2 linked regions of the Notamacropus eugenii genome follow. The protein of the gene in region 1 purifies or fractionates together with the protein of each later gene. This does not show direct contact. Links are inferred from orthologs where the notes say so. Each region holds a gene or a part of one and is shown on either strand. Other genes may lie near its edges.

What was found.
Region 2: the proteins of RAB5C (region 1) and GDI1 purify together in Homo sapiens (affinity purification with mass spectrometry; 3 studies listed by BioGRID and IntAct, counting the BioPlex papers as one, with this or other methods). This does not show direct contact. The link is inferred for Notamacropus eugenii from reciprocal best matches to the Homo sapiens genes RAB5C and GDI1.

The regions. Positions count from the first base shown.
Region 1 is NC_092873.1:358,665,166-358,676,129, reverse strand, and holds the start of RAB5C (ras-related protein Rab-5C), read left to right. Parts: upstream 1-6,175; 5' UTR 6,176-6,424; intron 6,425-7,512; exon of another isoform or gene 7,513-7,588; intron 7,589-10,964. Other genes in the region: voltage-gated delayed rectifier potassium channel KCNH4, read left to right, coding at 2,404-2,886. UniProt on the Homo sapiens protein: The small GTPases Rab are key regulators of intracellular membrane trafficking, from the formation of transport vesicles to their fusion with membranes.
Region 2 is NC_092879.1:9,967,268-9,979,083, reverse strand, and holds the start of GDI1 (rab GDP dissociation inhibitor alpha), read right to left. Parts: upstream 5,169-11,816; 5' UTR 5,066-5,168; coding exon 5,021-5,065; intron 3,923-5,020; coding exon 3,815-3,922; intron 3,654-3,814; coding exon 3,554-3,653; intron 3,398-3,553; coding exon 3,263-3,397; intron 2,075-3,262; coding exon 1,876-2,074; intron 1,710-1,875; coding exon 1,578-1,709; intron 860-1,577; coding exon 760-859; intron 62-759; coding exon 1-61. Other genes in the region: ATP6AP1 (V-type proton ATPase subunit S1), read right to left, coding at 7,843-8,052, 9,279-9,510, 9,618-9,665. UniProt on the Homo sapiens protein: Regulates the GDP/GTP exchange reaction of most Rab proteins by inhibiting the dissociation of GDP from them, and the subsequent binding of GTP to them. Promotes the dissociation of GDP-bound Rab proteins from the membrane and inhibits their activation.

The sequences.
Region 1 (10,964 bases):
GTATGGGTGTGTGTTAAGGTGGAAGAAGACTAGACAGGTGGGGAGGGGGAGGGGAACGATAGGTTATAGTTTTGAACACCATCTAGAGGATTTTATATTTGATCCTGAAAGTGTTAGAGAAATACTCCTTGGTGTTGAGTTGTTTCCACCATGTCTGATTCTTGGTGACCTGATTTAGGGTTTTCTTGGCAAAGATACCAGAGTGGTTTGCCATTTCCTTCTCTAGCTTATTTTACAGATGAGGAAGATGAGGCAAACGGAGTTAAATGACTTGCTCAGGGTCACATAGCTAGTACATGTCTGAGGCTCGATTTGAACTCAGGTCCTTCTGACTCCAGGGCCAACGCTTTATCCACTGTGCCAGCTAGCTGCTCTAGAGAGATACTGGAGTATATTAAATGCAAGGGAGGAGTAACATGGTTAGTACTGCATATGACTTTTGAGGTCATCTAGTCCAACCCATTCATTTTACAGATGAGCATAGGAAGGTCCAGAGAGTTTGTGACCTACCCAAGGTCTCAGAAGCAGTAAACATTAGAGCTAGGATTTGACAATAAGAATAACAATAATAATAATAACAGTAGTAGTACTGTAATAGTAGTATTATTATATATATTATGCATTATATGTAATATGTTATGTATATAGGACAGTAATAGTATTATTATACTACTACTACTATTATTACTATTAGATCTAGGATCTAGGTAGTAGTAGTAGAAGTAGTAGCGGGTAGTTATATAGCACTTTAAGGTTTGTGAAGAGCTGTAATCTTATTTGAGCCTCCCCAAAACCCTGGGAGGTAGGTGATATTATTGTCTCTATTTTACAGATGAGGAAACTGAGGCTGAGAGAAGTTAAATGACTTACTCAGGGTTGCACAGCTAGCATGAGACAGGATTTCAACTCAGGATTTTCTTTCTTTTTTTGCAAAGCAATCAGGGTTAAGTGAGTTGCCCAAGGTCATACAGCTACTAAATGTCAAGTGTCTGAGGCTGGATTTGAACTTAGGTCCTCCTGACTCCAGGGCTGGTGCTCTATCCACTGAGTTATGCCCTTACCAACTTTCTGACTCCAAGTCCATTTATATCTAAATTGAGGACCTATCTCCCCCCCATACCTTCATCATACCATACCATACCATCATACCATAATACTTCTTAGTCTATTTTCAAGCCTCTGCATTACCTCTGTGCCTCTAACATTGCAACAGTATACGCTCATGCTTTGTCATTAACCATAGCCACCTTTCATTCCCCTAAAACACCACCATGTGCCATCTCTGATGCTATCCTGTCCTCCACAGCCAGGAAAACCAACATTTCCCTAGAAGTTTTTCTTCAGGGTTCCACGGTTTCAGTGGTGTGTGTGTTTTCCCAGTGATAGATAGGTTTTCATAAATTGCTGTGGCTAGGAAAACAAGGAAGCAAACAAATGAATACCTGTGGTCAACTTTTCATTTATGTAGACTGGTCCTCAAACCATGGACCCACCATTCATCACTGGGCCAATGCCCAAAGCCTTGCCATCTTGGGAAGTTTTGGTGATCTGAAAGCACAGACATTCTTTAAAAAGGTTTATTTTATATATATTGTTGCATGAATTTTCTTATCAACTTGTGCTGGCATTAATTAGTTAGTTGATTAATTAGTCAGTTGATAAGGAAATTTGTGCACCTTTGATTTTCATACTGTCTACATTTCCTCAGGTATCCCTCCCCTTCTCAGAGAGCCATCCTTTATAACAGACAATAAAAAAGGGCGGGGGGAGAAAACAGTTCAGCAAAACATAGGCAATGTATTAAAAAAAAGTCGGGCTTTATATGTGGTGGGTTCCAAACCTTCTGCAAAGAAGTCTGGAGAGGGTAGAGGGTGGGGAGGGGGCAGAATGCCTTCCAGTCCTGTTCCTTGAGGCCATGCTTGGACATGACAATTTGGCCACATCCAATTTTGTTTATTTGGTTATTGTCATTCTTCCCTCTGTGCATTGTTGTGGTGATTGTGTGTTTTACTTCACCTTGCCTCCATTTGTATGTTTTCACACTTCTCTGAACTCATCACATTCATGGTTTCTTTCAAAACAAGAATATTCCATCATGTACCACAACTTGCTTAGCCATTCCCCGTTCGTGGGAATCTACATTGTTTCCAATTCTTTGCTACTTCAAAAAATTGATACAGTAAATATTTGACTGTGGAAGTAGACTTTCTTTTTTTATCATTGACCTTCTTAGGGGTATATGCCTGGTGGTAGGGTCTCTGGGTCAAAAGGTATGGGAATTTTAGTTATTTGCTTTGCATGATTCCAAATGAGCATAGCCTTGTAGAATTTAAGGTGAGTTCAATAGAAGAACATAAGAGGATTTTAGTAGAGGCCTAGAAGTAATAATTATATTTTCTGCAGATCACCCATCTCAACCAGGAAGTATCTCAGCTCAGCAGGGAACTTCGCCACATGATGCACTTGCTTCAAGCCTGGTTGGCAACCCGGGCACCCTTCACAGACTTTCCTGTTCCCCCTGGGCCTTCTACTCCTCCATGTCCACCACCAAGACCTCTTTGTGTTTCTCCATTGTTGACTGAGCCATGCCCTGGGACTCAAGATACCACATATGCTGAGGTCCACTGTCCCCAAAGTTCTCCCCCAGCTGGACTGAGGGAATCAGAAATGGGAACCTCTCCCCAGGGCTCCAGATCTGCGACACCAACCCTCTGCCCCCTGCAGATACGCCCTTCTAGCCCTGGCTCTCGGCCTGCCCTCCTAGGACCATCATCTGGGCTGGAAGTTCCATCTCCACCTGCTGGCTCTGTCTTCCCCAACGGTTCAGCTCCACTCCAGAGCACCAACCAATACCACTTCCACTCCAGTTCAGACACTTTCCACTGACCATGGTTTTAGGGCCCAGGCCTATCCAGTGGGGGCTTGGGCCACCCCCCTGGGAGGGTTTGGGTGTCTTGCCTGCCTACTACATAGTCAAAAGCCACTGGCTGGACTGGTCATCATAGGACCTCCTTCAGAGGTGTGACAAATGGTGGTGAACCCTGACCCCACTCCCTCTTTCATCCTTTCCCTCCTGCCCCTGTACTCCTGGTGGAGCCATCTGAGCCAACTGTGCCCAGTGGGCATGAGACAAGGAGTTGTGCCTGCGTCAGACTGGGCAGAGGATGTGCCCTTCTCCCAGGTGACCTGAAAGCAGGTAAGGAAGAGTGGTGGGAGGGTGGAGGTGGCAGGGAATGGTGAGTGAACAAGGCTAGCTTAAATGGAGAAGACTCCAGGGACAGAAGTGAGAGGTCCTAGAGGTTTTCCTGCCTGGGGAAGTGAAGTTTGAGGAAAGAAGGAAACACTAAGTCTTGGGCTGGGAGTCTCCAAAGGCATAGTTGAGCCCATCTAATGGACAGGCAATAAGGACCTAAGTGGTTTTGGTCTCTTGCTGAAACTGTAACGGGTATGAAAAGTTAGATTGCAGGAAGGACTTCCTGCCCAGGGGGTTAGGAATGGCTGAAACAGGGAGGGAGGGAAATGAGATTTTTCTCTTGAGATCACTTGGTGAGGATGAGAAACTCCCTTCTGCCTTCACCCTTTGAGCTGGGGAAAGCAGGAGATCTGAAGACTTCAGTCATGATGAGAGATCTCCAAGCACATAAATTCTTTAGGCATCATACAGCCTAGGCTGGGAAGATTCATGAGATTATAGATTTAGAGCTAGAAGGGATTTTTGAGGTCACTAATTCCAACTCCCTCATTTTATACTTGGGGAAACTGAGGTTTGGCCAAGCTATTAAGTGTCTGAGATAGGATTCAAAACTTAGTCTTCCTGACTTTTAAATCTGATGTTCCATACAATATACCACCCTGTCCATTTAGGGATCAAGATAGAGATACTTTAGGGACAAAAACTGTACCCATCTGAGGGATGAGAGAGTGAGGGAAGCCCCCAGGGGGGCTGAGTGTATACTCTTTGGCTCCCATTTGCTTCCTGCTTTAAGAGTTACAACTTTTCTCACCACTCTCTGAGAAGTAGGTAGTATTATCTCCCCTCTTTCGAAAATGAAGAAAGATTCAGAGACAAGACTGACTAGTTTGTGGTCACCCAGCTATAAAGTATCAGAGCCAGAATTCAAATTCAGGTCTTTTGACTACAAAGTCCAGCCCAGTTATCACTGCTCAGTAATATTAGTACAACTCCAGGCTCTATTCCCTCAAACTGACCCAATCCTGGAATGGAGTAGTGTTTGGGGGGATGGGGAAAAGGGAGGCAAAAGTAGTGTCCACTAATACCTTTCCCTGTATCTCCAAGCACATCTTTAGCTTTCTTTGTATGTATGTGTGCTTTATGTCTCTAGGTTCCAGCTCAAGGTGACCAGTCTGGCTGTGGATGACCCTTCAGATATTCCCAGGAACCACCCTTTCCAAATTCTCCAGCCCTGACCTCTTACCCCAGTTCCCTGGCTGTGACTTAGCCCATCTACCTCCCTTTCTGTTCTGTCTCATACTCAGGGTCCCCTCTCCACATGAACCATTCCTGCTCCCTGAGCATTGGGCCATATCCCTCTCACCCCCTATTCTCCTCTAGAGAACCTTCCTTTTCCTCTCTCTGGCTCTCATAGGGGAAATAAAATTTTCTTTATTTTTGTAGTTGTTGGACCTGTCTGTTTCTTGGGATGTATTGGGAAGCTCCTAAGGCTCAGAGGAGGCAAAACAAGCAGGTGACTGCAAAGGCCCTCTCTGCACTGCACCCCAGGGTCCCTGTTGCCATCTCTAGGAGGAGCAAAGGCGCCGACCTGCCTGGCACAACATTCATGACAACAGTGGCCCCAGGGAACAGGGGTGGGGAATCCTTAACAAGTGCTCCTGGGACTCATTATAGCATCTAACTTACCTCCCCCTAAATAGCACTTGGGAGAGACAAAGCCCTGTTCCCCCCACTCCAACAGACAGAGGGGGGAATAGAAAGGGGTCTTTGTCAGATGGAATCATTCCCCTTTCTCTTGAAAAATTCACATCCCATTCTCATTGTCCCCAGCATTGAAATTCAGCTGTATCCGAGAAGGAGCATGTGTCATCTGCCTAGGATCTTCTGTGTCTCCCATTCTTCCCCACTCCCACCCACATACTGGATATTTATAACTTATACCCCTCCCAACCCTCCACCTCCACACTCCTGTGTCTCTACCTTCCTCTGCATCTTGGGGAGGAATGGGGGCGGGGGTGCCTCGGTGGCCAGATGGTGTTAGAGATGGGGAGGAGTTGTAGAATTGTGGGATGGTCTCAGAGTAACTAATTCTCTCTAGGCTGCAATAGGAGGGCAGTACCCTTGAGACCAACATCCTGTCCTGTCTGTGAGGTGATCTGAAATTCCAGAACAAATCCAGGATATTATTTTCGTCGGGTGGCAGGAGACAGAGGTTGGCTTTTTTGGCCTGGTTTCCTGGGACGTATATTCTAGCCACTTTTTTTTGTAGTATCTTCTCTCAACCAGCCTGCAACCCTTTTACAGCGCCCCCTCTATGCCCCCCACATGCTCACGATTAAGCTTTCGCCCTACTCTTATCCTGAAGTCTTTCTCTTGGGTCTGCAGAACATTGTAGTGTCAAAGGGATGATCCTTGGTCCTGAGATTTAAGAAACCTAGCTTATAGGTTTCTCTGCCATTAGTGGTTGGCACTAGTGGTGCCAGCTAGTGGTTGTCTCTGCCACTAACTCTGGGTGATCTTGGGCAAGCCTGGCCTCAGTTTCTCCAGCTGTGAGACACAAAGGGATTGGTCCACTTGATTTCGAAGGTACCTTCTAGCTCAGCGTGAGACTGCAGCGTGCATTTGCTGAGTGGGGTAGTGGGATGGGGGGGTCTGGGGTTTGTTAAATTGAATTAAATTGACTTGCAAGGGAGTGATGGGAGATAGAGGGGAGCGGAATCCCCGCAGCTCTATTAGGAAATGCATTAGGGCTGACAACCTCTCTAGGTTAAACAGCTTTTATCTCCCACTAATTACAATGCGCCCCTCCTAGCCCGGATTCAAGCTACTCTTCGTCTCCCCAGGTCCCCAGGCCCTTTGAAGCGTCAGGATCGGCGGGCCCCGCCTAGTCTGCAGCCCGCTCCACCCCAATTCCGGAGCTCAAGTTCCTTCTCTCCGCCCAATGCCACGAACTACAAGTCCCAGGACACCCCGCCCCCAAGTCCCTTTTCCCGCCGCGAGATCGCCCCCTGCCGGCTCAGCGGGCGTTCCGAGAGAGCCTCTTTCCTATTGGTCTCTCGTCCCTGTCAGTCACCCGGGACCGGAGAGGGGCGGGGCGAAGTAGGAAGATCCGGATCCGGAGCGGCTGAAAGGCGGAAGTGGAGGCCGGAGCCTGGGACACTGCCGGGGGGGAAGAGGAGCGGAGCCAGTCCGCAGAGCCGGCCCCAGCAGCCCCGTCGCCCCAGAGCCTCAGTGAGTAAGCCTGTCCCGGGACCTCCGTGGGCTCCCGCCCGCGCCTCCACCCTGCCAGGCCTCGCCCTTCCCCCCTTTATCCCTCTTCCCTCCTCTCCGCCCGACCCCAGTTGAGGGGACACTGGCCCCTCCCAGGGTCCCGGCGTCTGACCCCTCCCCCGACCCGTAGTCGGACGGGGTTGGGGGGGGTCTCCTCTGTCTACTCCCAGCCCGAGGGGGCCCGCGTCCCGCGGCGCGTCCTGCCCTGCGCATTTCAGGCCTCGGCGAGCCCCTCTTCCTCCCCCTTCCTAGCGACCCGGGCGACCCAGGGCCGTCCTGCCGCCCCTGGCCTTGAGGCCCAGGTCGTGACCGGTCCCTGATCTTGGGGGTGTCGCCTGCGGGGCTGCGGCTGCTGCGCCCCTCCCCTCCTCCAGCTGTGGGGGGCGTTCCCCTTCTTCCCCGCCCCCCGGAAACCGTGCGCTTCTACCTGTCCTGGCCCGGGAGAGCTGGCTCCAGTTGTGATTTTTTTTCCCCTGTGACTGAGACCTCCTCAGCCACTTTTCCCTGCCACTGACATGGGGGGGAGGCGGAGAAAGAAGTATTTATTAATCACACCTACTATGTGCCAGGCGCTGTGCCAAGCGATTTACGGACATTGTCTTCTTTGAACCTCACAGCAACCTTGTGAGGTAGATGCTGTAATCATCCCCATTTTACAGTCTAGAAAACTGAGGCAGTCAGAAGTGAAGTGACTTGTCCAGGTTCACTCAGCTAGTAAGAGTCTTGAGGTCGTATTTGAACTCAGGTCTTCCTGAAGCCAGAATTAGCATATTCCGCTATATCATGTCTGTTTCTTTTTTTCCCTCTCTCTAGATCCTAGACCCTTGCGTTGCTTCCCTTTTCTGTCCTACCTTTTCCCCTTCCTGTCTTCTCTATTTTATTGTCCTTTCCCCAGACTGTGAACCCTGGGTCCGTCTTAGGGGTAGGGGTGAGAGGGGGATGTCTCCTTTCTTCACTTTTTTCCTCCTGTCATGAAAAGGATTTATATATTCTTTTCCTGTCGGTATAACCCCTTTTTATGAATATCTTCCTTTTCATCCCCAGCGGTTTGCTACATTTCAGGGTGGATAAGTCCACTATCTCAACTGTCTTTGCTTCTGGGTTGGCCCCCTCCTCCAAGAGCACGTGAGTGTTTTCCAAGCTTCCTCTGAGGGATGGCTCCTCCTAGGACAGCTGTCTGTTGGCTTTCCCTGGAAGGGGAAGTAAGTTAGGGACCTCCCAGAGGGTGAAGGGTGTTGGGACTGGAGGTTTCACCCTAAAGCAACAGGTTCAGGCATCTTGTGGTTTCAGAGTGGATAGCTTTAGAGTTTTGATATCTTCATGAAACTTTATACACATGTACTTATGTCAGTGAATACAACTTCTTACCCAAACCCAAACAGAAACCTGCTCTTCCAAGGGGAATATTGAGTTTATGTCTCTTTTATTGGTGACTTGGGGATGTGAATCAGCTGCTGCAGAGTGGTCATAGCCTGAATCCAAGTAGAGGCCAAAGACTGTTTGGCTGGGTTCTTTGAGGCCATGTCTTACATTTGATATTTTCATCTGACTAAGAGGAGACCTATTCCATGTTACAGCAGACTCTTTAGCTCACCTTGAACCAGTATCTTTGGTGACCATAGTTTTCTTGAGGAGTACCTTCTAAGACTAGAGTTACTTTTTGTTTCATAGGTTTCTGTTGACTTTTCGTTAACTATTGAGGCCTAACTCCTACCATTGGATAGGTTTCTCTTTTTTAAATGAATTTTTGTTTTAGATCTGTGATGTATTACCATGTTTCTGATGACTAGTTTATAGCCCTACACAGAAATAACAATTGGAGCTTATATTTCCCATTTTGTCTCTCCTACCTGTGTACACACTGCTTGATAATCAGTGAAGACAGTGTGCTTTGGTGAATCAGGTTTAGTAGGGGGGAAGTTTTTTTCCTAGTCCAACTAGTCTGTTCTTGGTAGCTTACTGGATTTTAGTGAGATGTCCTCTCCTTTCCCTATTGGCCTCCTCTTATCCCCAACCAGAACTGAGTAGGTGGGGACAACCTTGTGAACCTTATTTCTTAGCACCCCGTCCTATCAATCCCTGCCCCTGCCCCCAACTCTCTTGCTTGCTTTTAATACCTGAAATATGTGCTCAGCAGAGTATGTTTTACTTTGGCATCCCAACAAAATAGTCTGGGTTGTCAGTCCTGGAGAGGGCAATGCTGTTTCAGATCATTGGCACCTAGAGTGTAGAAACCAGGCTCTATATCACTTCATCTCTGTGCTGTGCCATGAACAGGTTGGTACTTACTAGGCACTTTTTGATGATGAGGTGGTTATGAAAAGAAAGCAACCTTTCTCCAACCCAAGGTGACTTGTAAGCATTTTTTTAGAAGCAGTACAATGTTGATTTCTGTTTGGGTACTAATGGTCCCTCATTCTGAGGGAAACCAAGAGCATGGGGGAGAACACTTGTCGTTTGCATTTCTGCTGCAGCCCCAGTAAAATAGAGGCCCACAAAGATGCTTTGAGATTTGTCAGTTTTTGTGTCACAGACCTTTCTGCTTCTCAGCAAGCAGGGGTTGTGACTGTTGGCATAGATACAGATCATTAGTAGTCACATTCTACTCTGCACACCTGTTGATTCTTTTTGAACCTTTTCTCTTGCTTTTGCCTTAGGCCTGCTACTGATATCCCGAGCAATTGTTGAGCCACCCTGACCCTAGAATACTCTACTTCATGGGGACCTAAAAGTGGTAGTGACTGTCTGGGCAGAGCAGGTCTTTGTTCTGCCCTGATCTCCCAACTTTGCTGCTTATTGATGAGATGTAGCAAATGTGTAGGTTACTTTTTATCCTGAATCTATTGGTATGAAAATGGAGTATACCATAGATTTTTTTTCAGCTCTTCCCTCCAAAGTAAACCCGTCTCATCTCTTATATGCTTATCAATTAAAACTGGACTACATTTTCTGCAAACATGGACCCTATCCTGTGGTGGATTCCCTTTACAATTCAAAGTCTTTTAGGGCATTACAGTACATATGCTTGTGGTTATGGTGTTTGTTAGGGCCTACTGATTTGAGCCCTGGTAATATCTAGTACTTAGGGGAAGCTAGGTGGTGCAGTGGGATAGGTTGCTGAGGTCAGGAAGACCTGAATTCAAATCCAGCCTCAGACACTTACTAGCTGTGTGACATGGGCAAGTCACTTAACCCTGTTTGCCTCAGTTTCCCCATCTGTAAAATGAGCTGGAGAAGGAAATGGCAAACCACTCCAGTATCTCTGCCAAGAAAATCCCTAGTGGGGTCATGAAGAGTCAGACATGACTGAAACAACTCAACAGTAGCAACAACAACAAATCTAGTGCCTCTCAGGCTTTAATCGTTTGGGTGCTTTGGACTATATATTTCAAATTTTTAAGTATATGTATTTTAAGTCTTGTAGCCCAGTAACACAGGATAGTTGTGGTTCAGGTCCAGATTCCTGCTGGGTTTGGAGTCAGGAAGACCCAAATCAAATCTAACCACAAATATTGCTTTGCCCTTGACCTTGGGCAAGTCATTTAACCACTTTTTGCCTCAGTTTCTTCATCTGTAAAACAGGCTTCATAATAGAACCTACCTCCCAGGGTTGTTGTGAGGATCAAATGTGATAGAAATCTTAAAGTACTTACTTAGCACAGTGCCTGGCAAATAGTAGGTATTATATAAATGTTAATAATTATTGTTATTATTAGGCTTTAGTCTTTGAAACTAGCAAATAATACCTCCTTCCACATGCAAGAAGGCCTGAGTTGTTTCTGTTCTAGAGGAGAATAGGTTAATTTAGAAAAAAAAGACTTGTTCAGGTTGACTTCTTCTCCCTATCCTAGGACTGGGGAAATGTAGCTACTCCAAGGGTAGGTTAGATGTGATGGTTATCTACTCTGGTTCTCTTTTATATAGAAAGAATTGGAGGATTAGAGCTGTGAAGGGACCTTAGAGGCTGTCTAGTTGAGCCCTTTTGTAGAGGAAGAAGCTGGGTCTCAGAGAAGGTAGTGACTTGCTCAGGCTCCATGGTAATAGGTTTCAAAGGTAGGATTTGAATCCAAGTCTCAATTTCATTGCTTTTTTTACTATACCATTTTTACTTTGAGTGTAGAGAACACAGCAGACTTGTGATTGTATATTTAATGACAGTTTCTTAGGCGACAGATTGAAGCTATGGAGTTCTTTTTATATAACATTATTCCCACTGAGTTGAAAGAGAAGAAGGTGTTTAGATGTCAGTTCAGTTCAATACCATGTTTGTGGTCTGCTATGTGCCAGGCACTGTGCTAAGCTCTAGGAATGCAAATAAAAGATCCGTGGGTTCGTGTAGTCCCAGTCCTGCCACCAACCAACTGTTGAGCTGAGTTTGTAGCCTTTTGGGGCCTCAATTTCCCTCATCTGTAGATGGTAGGATTGGACCAGATGTTATTTAAGGTTCTTTGTTTTTCTAAAGCACTATGATTCAGCGTACTGCTTTGTTTGTTCCCAAGTA
Region 2 (11,816 bases), on another chromosome or scaffold:
CCTTTCGAACGCGATCAGGGATGTAGCTGGGGTCACAGATCAGCTGCTTGCAACGGGCCACCTGGGGTAGAGGGGGACAGCAGCACCCTGACCTGCTGAGCTAGGTATCCACCAGTAGGTAGGGATCTTCATTGAGTCTTTTGCATTGGACGAGGGTTTCAGAATGGCCAGATATAAGGGGCTGAGTAACCTCATGAAGCCACAGAAGAAGCAAACCTATGTTTTTGGCCTCAATAGCCAACTCTAACCCCAACCAATTAAGAAAACTAGTTGACCAGAGAAACAGTAAACCCCTTGGACTCAAAGTCACATGAAGGCATCCACTATCTGTTTTCCAGTCTCCGTGACTGACTTTCAACATTTTTGTATCTGAAGCATTAGAAATTCCTTGTAGGCAGGTAGCCTGGCTTATTCTCATTTCAAAGCCCAGGCTCCCAATACTGGCTCTCCCTTATCTCTTCCCCAAAACTTAGAACCTAGAACCAGTGCTGTCATGAAAACCAACAGCACCTAGAACCCTGCTGTCCCAAGGGAAAAAAAAATGGAACCAGCTTTGAACCCAAGACTAAGTAAGGGTGAATGTTCCATACAGAACCTCTAGGACCTCAACTTCTGAATGTACCTACCACCCATCATTTCAAATTCATCAAAACCACCCTTGGTCTTTTGACAACAATAGAGGAGGGGGGTGGGAGACAGGAGAGAAGGGAAAGAATGCAAGGATAGGGGGAAGATCTCCAGAAGCATGGTCTGGCTTACCTCCCCCTCTGACTTCACCCCTACCACCTTTCCATTCTCCATGATGATATCATCCACAGGTTTGTTCAGCATGTATGTCCCACCATAGATGGCACTCAATCTGAGGTGGGGAGGGAGTACAATGATGAGAGCCCCTCTGTCCCCAGCAGGAAACCCCCACCCCCAGGCTAATCAAGAGGACTGGGTTGTCAGAGTAAGAGTATGATTTTGTTTTTCTTTTTTGGAGGGGGAAGGCAAAGCAATTGGGGTTAAGTGACTTGCCCAAGGTCACCCAGCTAGTAAGTGTCTAAGTCTGGATTTGAACTCAGGTTCTCTTGACTCCAGGACTGGTGCCTGAATTCACTAAGCCACCTAGCTCCCCCCAGCCCCAAGAGCATGACTGGATTGATCACATCCCCACTCAGTTTCTCCAACTAACACAGGGAAAAATCAATAATTCCTGTTCTGTTTCATTTTGGTTTTTCACAGGACTATATTTTCACGAGGCTATGTTAACTTCTTTCTCACTCATCCATATGAACAAAATTCCAAACTGGAAATCATGGAATGTGAAGAGCCTGCAAAGCAGTACTAAAGCAAGGCTTTGGCTATTGAGAACAGGGCCAAGAGGCAGCAATGAAAAATCACCCTCAGCTTAGGGCTGGTAACTTCCTCTGATGGGTAATCACTCTACTGCCAAACCTTGCTAAAAGCTTCAGTTTTCCTCAGCTGGAAAATGGCCTGCTAACAATAAGAAGGGCAACAGCAAAACTGGAGAATAATTCCCTTCACATGCCTATTGTACTCCCACTTTTGCTTGCATTTCCCTCCCCCCTCACCTTGCAAATCCCTGGGGGAGCTCGCCCAGGCCATAGAGAGGGTACAGGTATGGGCTCTTCCCATACCGGGCCAGAGACTCGCTATACAGTTTGATGCGGTTAATGGTCTCGAGACAGGGCTGGTCCAAGTAGCTAAAAGTGAGAAGGAAAGAAGGGAAAGAGGAAGTTTGTTCATTAAGCAAAAAAAAAAATTATGGGACTGTGCTAGAACATGGCAGTTAAGGAAGGGGGCCCTTAAGCTAGTACAATTCAAGGTCAAGAAAGGGACCTGAAGGGAAATGGAAGAATATCTTCTTACTCATCAGTTCGGTAGAGTGCCAGAGCATGGCCAGTGAAGTCAATAACATCTTGGCCCAAGTCAAACTTCTTATACACATCTCGCATGGTTGTGGTCTGAGGATCAACACCCTCAAAGCTCTTGGGGTCATTCTCATCGAAGTTTGCCACAAACACCAGGAACTTTCTAAATCGGCGTTTCTCGAACATGCCCATCAGGTCTAAGGGAGAAAGGAGTTTCTTTACTCACCCACCGTTTACCCCACAGTGAGAAGGGGGCAAAAACTATGAATGAAGTGGAGATAAAAACAACACTGCTAAAAAGCAGAAGGCTCCAGGGCCAGTCTTATTCTGCTAGTCACTGTGTGATTTCCAGGCCTTAGTTTCCTAATTTATAACTCCTCCCCTTCCCCACTACCATGGGAGGTAGTCTACTCAACACTGCAGTGAGTCCTAATGTTGGGCACAGCTGACCTGACTAGGGATCAAAGGAGAGAGTGCCTTACAAACACCTAGTACTTCTATGACAAACTGAGTCCCTGCCTTGAACCTTATATATGCTGGGTCAGGGACCTGTATTGATAATTAAATCAACTCTAACCCTATCTCTCTCTTCCCCTCTTTCATCACGACCTCTGGAACCCTCAATTCCACTGTTAACAAACTATTAGACCTCTGTCCCCCCTCCCCGGAATTACTTGGTCATTTCTGTTTCTGTCTAGGGCACCCCTATCCTCTTCAAAGTCTTCAAAGACACTATGATCTCCAATTCTCACTCTTCATTACCTCACAAAGCCAATCACTGGCCTAAACTTGCTGTTTCTAGCCCTATAACCCTCTCACGTCTAGGCCCTCATCACCTCATCTAGATGATAGCCTCCTACTCAGTCTCTTGGCCAAGATAATCTTAATTAAGCAAGGTCTGACCATATCATTCCCCTGCCGAACTGCAATGGCTTCCCCGTTGCCTCTAGAATACAAGTTTGGCTTTCAAGTCCTATATGGCTTGGCCCCAGTTTACCTCATCAATCAACTAACAATGCTGAGAACTCCAAACTGGTCTCCTCACGGCCATCTTTTGTATCCTTGTGCCTTTACACACATATAACCTTTCCTGATCCCTCCCAAATTCTAAGGGCTAGCCTTCTGCCCTAAATTCCCTTGTATTTATTCTGTATACAGTGTGCTTCTGATACTGCTGGCTTAACGGCCCAGGAAAGCATTCACATCTAAACCTGAGTTGTGTCAATGGGCAAGCTCTGCCTATGACTCCCTAATATGCCCCTGGCTTCTCCCCAGTGTCCTGGACAATTCACTTTCCCCACCAGTATCATGAAACCAGTCTCAGAGGTGTGACGCTCTCTCCTTCAGTCCTGATAACTGGAATAAAAAACGATGGTGACACTCACTGGAGGCCAAGGCCTCAGTCTCAGTAGATGGCACCTTGTAGATCTTGCCCCCCTTGTAGACAAAGCTGCCTTCCACCACTTTGAAGTCTAGGTAACGAGTCACTTCGGTGTACAGCAACATCTTCACCAACTGGCCTGTGGGTAGTATGGGGAGAGGAAGAGAGACATCTCCATATGTATAACCCTTTCCCATTCACTTGATGGTCCTCAAGCCCTTTCCCCAAATTCTGCCCCCCCCCCCCCCCACATCCTACCTATATCACCTACCACCAGCTATATCCTCCCACTCACCATTGGCCATGAGGAATTTGGGGATCAAGTCAACATTCCAGTCTCGACCCCTGCCCAAGCTTTCAGGAGGTCCTTCAGGCAGGTCAAACCGTTTGAACAGCTACAAGCAGGGAGAGACAGAGAAGAGGAAAAGGGAGGATTCAATCAATGTTGACCTCACCTCCAAAACCTGCCTGTAGAGACTTCCAAGAGCTGATCAGGCGTGGAAGTCAGACTATAAAGGACAATGGAGCCTGGGAAAAATGGAGCAGGTCACCTCACCTCTTCCAGGGGTGTGATAGAGGAGCTTTCACCCCCATAGTAAGGATTGCGATCCATGTGCAACACTTTCTTCCCGTTCACAGACATGATGCCAGAGAGAATACATTCCTGGAGGGGAAGACCGGCAAGGAAGACAGGAAAAAGAATGTGAATAGACCCTCTCCCCAAACCAGAATAGAAATCTCAGCAGATTCCTTTACCTTAAGACTGAAGGGGAGGAGAGGCGGAAGAGAGCCCCTCCCCTTCTCCCAACCAGACACACAAAAGGTTGGAGAGGTAGGTTTCCATCCTTCTGCTAAACTCTTCATGGCGCAGCTATTAAGGGGAAGGCCATTTGGGCTCCAAAGTGAAGGCAAGCAGTGGAGAAACAACTCCCCCTTTTCCTGACCCTGACATCCTATTCCAGGAAGCAATAAGAATGTCGACAAACACAGCTACACAGAGCACAGGTGCAATTGGAAGCAGAGAAACGCCGTATCGCAAGGGCCCTACCCTAGGCCTTCTCTTCCTGGTCTTGAGGCACACGGAGAACTCCATTTCTCCCACTCTCAAGTAATCTCCCACAAGATCAGCGCATCTTTATGTGGTAGGGACACAGCAACCCTGCCCATGCCTTCAGGCCACCATCTTGTATGTGACTAGATCTAGAGCTGGGAGGTACTAATTTTACAGATGGGGAAAATACCGAAGAAGGAGGAAAATAATGAATAGAAGGCCGAGGAAAATGACTAACCAGGGTCACACAACTATTACACGTCAGATGCGTTTATCCATTACAGGGTTAATGAGCACACCATGCCTGTCCTGTCTCTCACCCCCACCCAGAGGAAGGGAAAGGATTATTTCAGTCCCCTATCCTGTGGTTAGGATACTACCGTCCAGAGGGTTTGATATACCCTTATCATCTTGGGGATTGTGGTGATGGGGTATGGATACTCTGTGGTCCTGTGGGTAGGGCTCCAAGAAAACGGGGAGGACTATCTGTGAATCTTAGGGTTGGCGTTAAAGAGGGTAGCCCTGATTGGGAGGAGACTGAAAGGAAGGCATATTGGGATCCCACGCCACTGGGGCCACACACAGAGGGGAAGAAAGGTCATGATGGGGATGGGTTGAAAAGGTGGGGGGAGGGGAAGAAGGGGGGAACCTTTTAGGTTGGGGGGGCGGGGTGCTGCATTCTCGTCGGGGTTCCTGTCGGTCCCTACTCACCGTGAGGCCCGTGCCCAGCACGATCACGTCGTACTCCTCGTCCATGGTTCTGCTCGAAGGCCTCGGCTGGTCTCCGCTTTCCGGCTTCGCCGACGCCGCTGCTGCCGCTGCTGCTGCTGCTGCCACCGCCGCCGCTGAAATGGACCAAAGATGGCGGACTCAGCACCGCCTTTCCTCCAGCTCCCTCCGCTGTGCCAAAGAGTCCCGACTCTTCCGCGCTGCCGACGCCGCCCTGTCACCCCGTGGACCACGCCCGACTACGAACGTGGCCGAGAGACTTGCAGAATGCTGGGGCAAGGGGCTACGATGTGCCTGCCTCGACTGTGGGAATTCCTTCATTGAGAGGGAGGGGGAGGGGAGGGACAGAGGCCCGTGAGGAGACCAAGAGAGGGATCCATCCGCACCCCTTCCCGCATCTTCTGCCCGCATCTTCCTACCCACGGAGATGCTGTGGGGAGGGGCTGTCCCCAGGAGGGAGAACCCGAGAGAAGGAACTGCGCTGGGGAGGGGGGGAGGGGGGGAGATGAAAATGAGGGAACGCCTCGGGGGAGAAGACCCCGCCTCTAACAGGCTGTCAAGAGTAGGGTCAAGGAAAGCGCCCTTGTCCCCATCACAGCATGCAGATGGGGGGCGCGAATCTCTTGGGGGCGCAGGTGCCAGGCGGGGGAGGGGAGGCTGCTCCAGGCCTGGGTGGGGCATATTCACAGAAGCCTCAGTCTTCTGCAGGAGAGGTTATAGCCGCTATCTCCAGCACCCCGCACCCTCCTCCCATGACTCAGCTTTGTCTTTTCCCATCCTGTCCCCTCAAATCCCTAAGGGGCAAATCTAGGCTGCAGACCTACCAGCCAAAGGGAGCTTTGAAGGGCCAAGAAATTCTCCTTTCAGCCTCCCTAACACCCCCAATCTTCATGCCCAAACCCCATCAATGAACTATTTGCCCTGCCTCTCTTCCCAGGAATGGGAGAGGTGGCACAGGTTCTCTATCTTTGCATCTGGAATCCTCGGAATCATGGTTTGAAATGCACAAAATATTACAAAAGAAACCCATTATAGCTAATAAATATAATTGTTTTTATCCCATCCAATTTTAAAAGGCTTCCAGAATTGTATCAATGACCCCAGGTGAAGAACCCTTGTTTTGCCTCCACTCCTGTAACCTGTGGGCAACTAAGTGGTGCAATGGATAGAGCACTGAGCTTGGAAACAGAAATATATCTTCCTGATGTCAAATCCAGTCTCAGATACTGGTGGTGTGACCCTGGGCAAGTCACTGTTTGCTTCAGTTCTTCATCTATACAATGAGCTGGAGAAGGAAATGGCAAACCAATCCAATATCTTTGCCAAGAAAACCCCAAATGGGATGGTGAAAAGTCAGACACTGAACAACAAGGGATAACACACTGGTGACTTCCTCAGCAATGCCTAGGCCAAATGATCTGTCCTCTTGAAGCAAAGCTGTCATGGAGGCTTAGTTAACATGTTATTTCAATTTCTTTTCACATCCAATTTTAGCCCCACCAAAAAACTAGAAGACAAAATAATCAAGTTTCAAGCCCACACCCTCTCCCCACCATGAGTTCCCTTCTTTGTTTGTCCTTCGTTCTCAAAGGGGACCATGACATCAGGAAGGTGATGTCATGACTTGGATTTAAGTGTGGGAGGGCTGTACAAAGTCACTAGCCTCAATCTCCTCCATAGCCATCTGGGTAGAGTGGCAAGGTATAAATCAGGGCTGGAGACACAGTGGGAGACTTTGGCCTTTTGAAGCTAAGGCCTTTCCCAGGTCGAAGTTTGACTGAGGTAACACTCATTTAGTGATTAAGGCTAGGTAACAAATGAGGCCAAGAATGGCCTCTTTCACTTAGTCAAAACCAAACCAAACCAAAAATCACTCAGGGAAGGGAAGAGCTTCACGGTTTCTGGCCAAAACAGAAACAATTACTATATACACTGCATCAAAGCCCAATGACCAAAAGAGGCTTGGGCTGGGACCTATTGTTGGCCAATTAATGAGAACCAAAGTGATTTGGGTTTAAGGTATGGTCCATAAAAAAAGAAATCTAGCCCACAAACCCCAAGGTATCTTGCTAGTTTCAGCTATCAAAATTTATATTCCTTTGGGCAGAGTACCTGCAGAAAAGGCTGATACCCTATGTGGATAGAGGGAGAGGAGGAAGAAATCCACACATAACCACTGGTGAACTCCCTGATCTCTGTCCTTTTAAAGCAAAGCCCTGCTTAATACAAAATGACCACACTGTCTTGGAGGCTTAGTTAAAATTTTATTTCAATTTCTTATCACATCCAACTTTAGCATCACCAAAAAAGAAAAAGACAAAACAAGAAGCAAACAAGACAATGTAACAAGTCTCAAGTTCACACCCCCACCCCACTTGGAGTTACCTTCCAACCTCCGGACTACATTTTGACTAATCCCCAGAATACATCTCACACAATGAAGCAGCTAGACCTGAGGGCAGGGATTTAGGGAGAATAAATAAGGATTGGAAGCCAGCAGGAAGGAAAGTGGCCTGGATACTCCTTCCCCACCCCCCCACCCCCTCCATTGGTGCACTGCCTACAAGGTTTTCACTGAGGGTATTTGTCAGAGGCAGACACTTTTTTGTTTCCACGGACAGGGTAGGGTAACCACAGGTTCTGGGATAATTGGGGGTGGAGCAAGAGGAAATAGGGGTAGGGAGGCCTAGCTACTAAGGAAGCACAAATGAGTAGTAGCCTGGCAGCCCTTCCAAGGGGAGGAGGCAAAGTCAACACAAAACTCCACCTCCAACCCTTCTGGCCCCCCCATGTGACTAAAGGGGTCACTCCATCAGGGGCACAGAGAGAGTGCTCCCCTTGTGATCATCAAAGCGATCCATGGTCTTGAGGTTGAGGATCATGTGCAGACCGTAGGTGAAGATGAAAAGCATGATGAGAGAGGAGACTAGCCCCATCCAGATGCCAGGGGAGAAGAAGCTGGCACAGTCACTGGCATAGGAGAAGTTTCCACCAGATAAGTTAAAGGCCTGAATCTGAAAAGGAAGAAAGAAAATTAAGACAAGAAACCAAACACTGGTTTGGTCTGGTCTATGAAATCCAAAAGGAATTGTGCAGGGGAAATCGCCCTCTCCTCTCCTATCCCACCCACCAGAGCCAGGGTCCAGCAGAATGTTTCTGGAGTAGGTAGGAAGGTGGGTAGACCCAAGAACTGGAGAGGTTTTTAATATCCCTGAGTATCTTAATTAGGCTATTTGATGGATAGTCAGGAAGAAACGTATGAACACTCCTTGCTCAGCTAAATTCTGTCCCACTGTGGCCATCATTTACCAATCTGTCTCTCTTTGAGGTTCTCCATGAAGCTACACCACCCTAACTCTATACCTCCCTCTTCTTTCCTAGAGTTCAGCCTTCCTCTCCACCCTAAACTCTGATTTTATAAGCTTAAAGTCTTCATGCGACATTAGCTTCCGTGATAACTTGTACTACACACACACCTCTCTCTCTCATTCCTAAATGTTCTATTTAATGATCTAGGACTCAAATTCCTCTCAGCCTACAAGCTCCTCTTCTTGTACCTTACTTACAACCCCTCCCTTTATCTAGCCTTCATCTTCAACTTGATTTCAGGGCATTCCATTTCTTCCGGCTTTCTCACCGCATCACCATCTACCTCTGTTCTGGTCTCACCTTCTTCCCTCATTTATTCAATTTAACTGTGTTCCTCTCTGCCCTCAAATCTCTTACCCCTTCCTTGTCCTATCACTATCATGACTTTCCAAATTCCAACCCTAGATTAATCTCACTCTTCCATCCCACCCCCATCTACTCTCTCCAATCCTAACAGGGCTGAGTTTACTTCAGTTTCACGTTCTTGAATTTCAGTTGAGTTCTCCCTACCAAACAGCACTCCTTTGATTCTCCCTAAACTGACTCACTTCCACCATTTTCTCCATCTTTCATCCCTTAGCAGAGCACCTCATGCATCATTTTTAAAGTGAAAATCGATGCCATCCATTGTGAACTTCCTTATACTCCTTAATTCCACACATACTCAAATCCCCTCATCACCCTCCCTAATCTCCCTCCCCTTGGCCCAGTCTGTGATGAAAACACGGCCCTTCTCACCAAAGCCAATCCTTCTATTTGTGCCCTTGATTCCTTCCCCTCTGGGGGCTTTCTTCAACTGGGAATGTTAGTAATTCCTCCCTCACCGAAACAGAACATGTACTCCCCACCTCCTGTGCTCCTTTCATCCTACCTGGAAATTCTGGAAAGTCACATGCCAGGCAGAGGAACCAGGTGAAGATATTAGGAGACCTGCTTTTGAACGTTCAGTGCTAACATACTGGCAGTGAAAGGAATAGATGCTAGGTGCTGTGACATGTGAGGAATTGAAGACCACAACCGAGTTGTTGTTGTGGATCTCTAGTCGATCCATGATGAACCAGCTTCGGGCTGAAACAGGGTAGAAATGGCTGCTCAGAATAAACCTGGGAGAGAAAGTCAGATGATCAGTGGAAACTCCAAAGACTGCCCAAAGCTTTCTTCACCAACCCCTTTAACCTCCTCCCCACCCCCCTGCCACCCCAGCACTTACTTGATTGTCAGAAGTGGGCCAAAGAGGTTTTCATATGTCAGCGCAAGCCTAGGAAAACAGAGGAAAGAAAGGGCTGCTCAGCTTTACCATCCTTGGTTGTCAAAGGGAATCTCTACCACATAGACTATTCCCAAAGTGCTCAGTGCCACTGAGATTGAAGGTTTCCTATGGTTCTCAATGTGTAGGCAAGAATTTAATCAAGCTCACTCACACACACAAGCTGAGAATGGAGCTGAAGCTTGGACCCAGGCTTCAAAACTCCCAAGTCATAGTTCTAACTCCCACTGGCCCCACCCTCTTGTTCAAAGAATATGTGTGAAGACAGTGGCCACTTAGGGCCTAGAAGAGGAGTCCCCAATAAAGCCCTTAAAAAAGGGAACAATGATAAAAGAAAATACACAAAAATCTATATACTCCCTCCATCCAGGATAGATTGAAAGCACAGCATATAAATAAGTAGCGTGGACCAAGAGAAGAAAGAGCGGGGCTATCTGGGAAGCAAAGCACCAGGTATCAAGCAGGAGTCCTGCTACCAGTACGAACATCATTGAGGTTGGGCCTGTTCAATTCATAGCTAGGGACAAAGGCTACTGTGGGTTCAGAGAAGGTGCCAAGGCCCAAACCTAAGCTGTACCACTAAGAGACTGACAAAAGCCAAGAATTCCATCTTAGCTAAGAGAACTGAAGAGGGCAGAGGCTGACCCAAGCATAAAAAGCCCAATCCAAAAACTGAGATAGAAAACAATCCTGATAATAGTGAAAAAAGTTATGTACTAAGAGGTGTGCCAAGAAGTAACCCTATAAGAGTTAACTTCTAAAGTCCAAGTAGAGCATCAGAAAAAAATATTCTGGCCACAATAATAAGAATACACATTCATATAGTGCTTTAAGGTTGGCAAAATGCTTTACAAATATCTCACTGGGTGTTATCATTATCCCCATTTTACAGAGGAGGAAATGGAGGCAGATTAAAGTTAAGTGATTTTCCCTGGGCCACACAGATAATATAGATGAGGCAAATTTGAACCTGGATCTTCTTGACTTTCAGTCCAACATCCACCCACTCTGCCACCCAGCTGCCTAAGTAGTACCTATCTAAAACTCCATGTAAAGGAGAAAGGCTGGAGGCCTTTCCAATGAGACCAAGATTGAGCCGGAGATGTTCATCAACACTTCTATTATTTAACATAATAACATGAAAATGATCTAGAACCATAAAACAAGAAAAGAAAGTCGAGGAATTAAGCATAGACAAAGAGAAAACAAAATGATCGCTTTTTGCAGATGATATGATGGAACCCCAAAAAGTCAACTAAGCTAAAATAATAACTTCAGCAAAGTTGAATAGAAAATAAATCCACATAAATCATCAGTATTTCTGTCAATTACCAACAAAATCCTGCAGGAAGAGAAAGAGAAATTCTATTCAAAATATAGAATACATTATGAATATATATGAATATGGAATATATAGAATACATAAAATATTTGTGTCTGCCTACCAAGATCCACAAAGGAACTGTATGACCAAAACTACAAACATTTATAGAAAAAATAACAGACCCAACAACTAGAGAAAAATTCAGTGCCATGGATACTTTCAAAAAGATTATTTTAAAAGAGCTAATAGAAATAACGAAAATGAATCTCTTAAGAAACAATGGAAAATGGGGGTGGGGGGGAAGGAAGCCTCAGATCTCAAACTATGCTACAATGCATCAATGATCAAAATTAACCTCAACTCTGAGGATCGGTACACTAGGTACACAATGTGCGGAAGCAAATGAACATATTAACAGCGTTGGATGGACCCAAAGGCTCCAAGGACACATGATTCGATAAGACCTGCTGGAAAAACTAGTCAGCAATCTGGTTGGAATGAGGGGTAGAAAATGCCTCGAGTCACATGTCAAGATAAACTTCAAAAAGATACAAGAGAGACATAAAAGGTTACATCATAAACTACTTGGAGGGGTAAGAAAGCTACCTTTTGTAGAGGGTGAGGCATCAGCCTTTATGACCAAAACAGGAGTCTCACAGAGTTAAACTGCACAATTCTGATCATGTAAAAAAGGTTTTGCGCAACAAAATACAGTAAAACCAGAAGGGAAAGTTAACTAGGGAAAAACTCTTTACAGTTTCTCTGATAGTTTTCACATCCAAATTCAAATTTACAAGAATCAGAGACACTCTGATGGA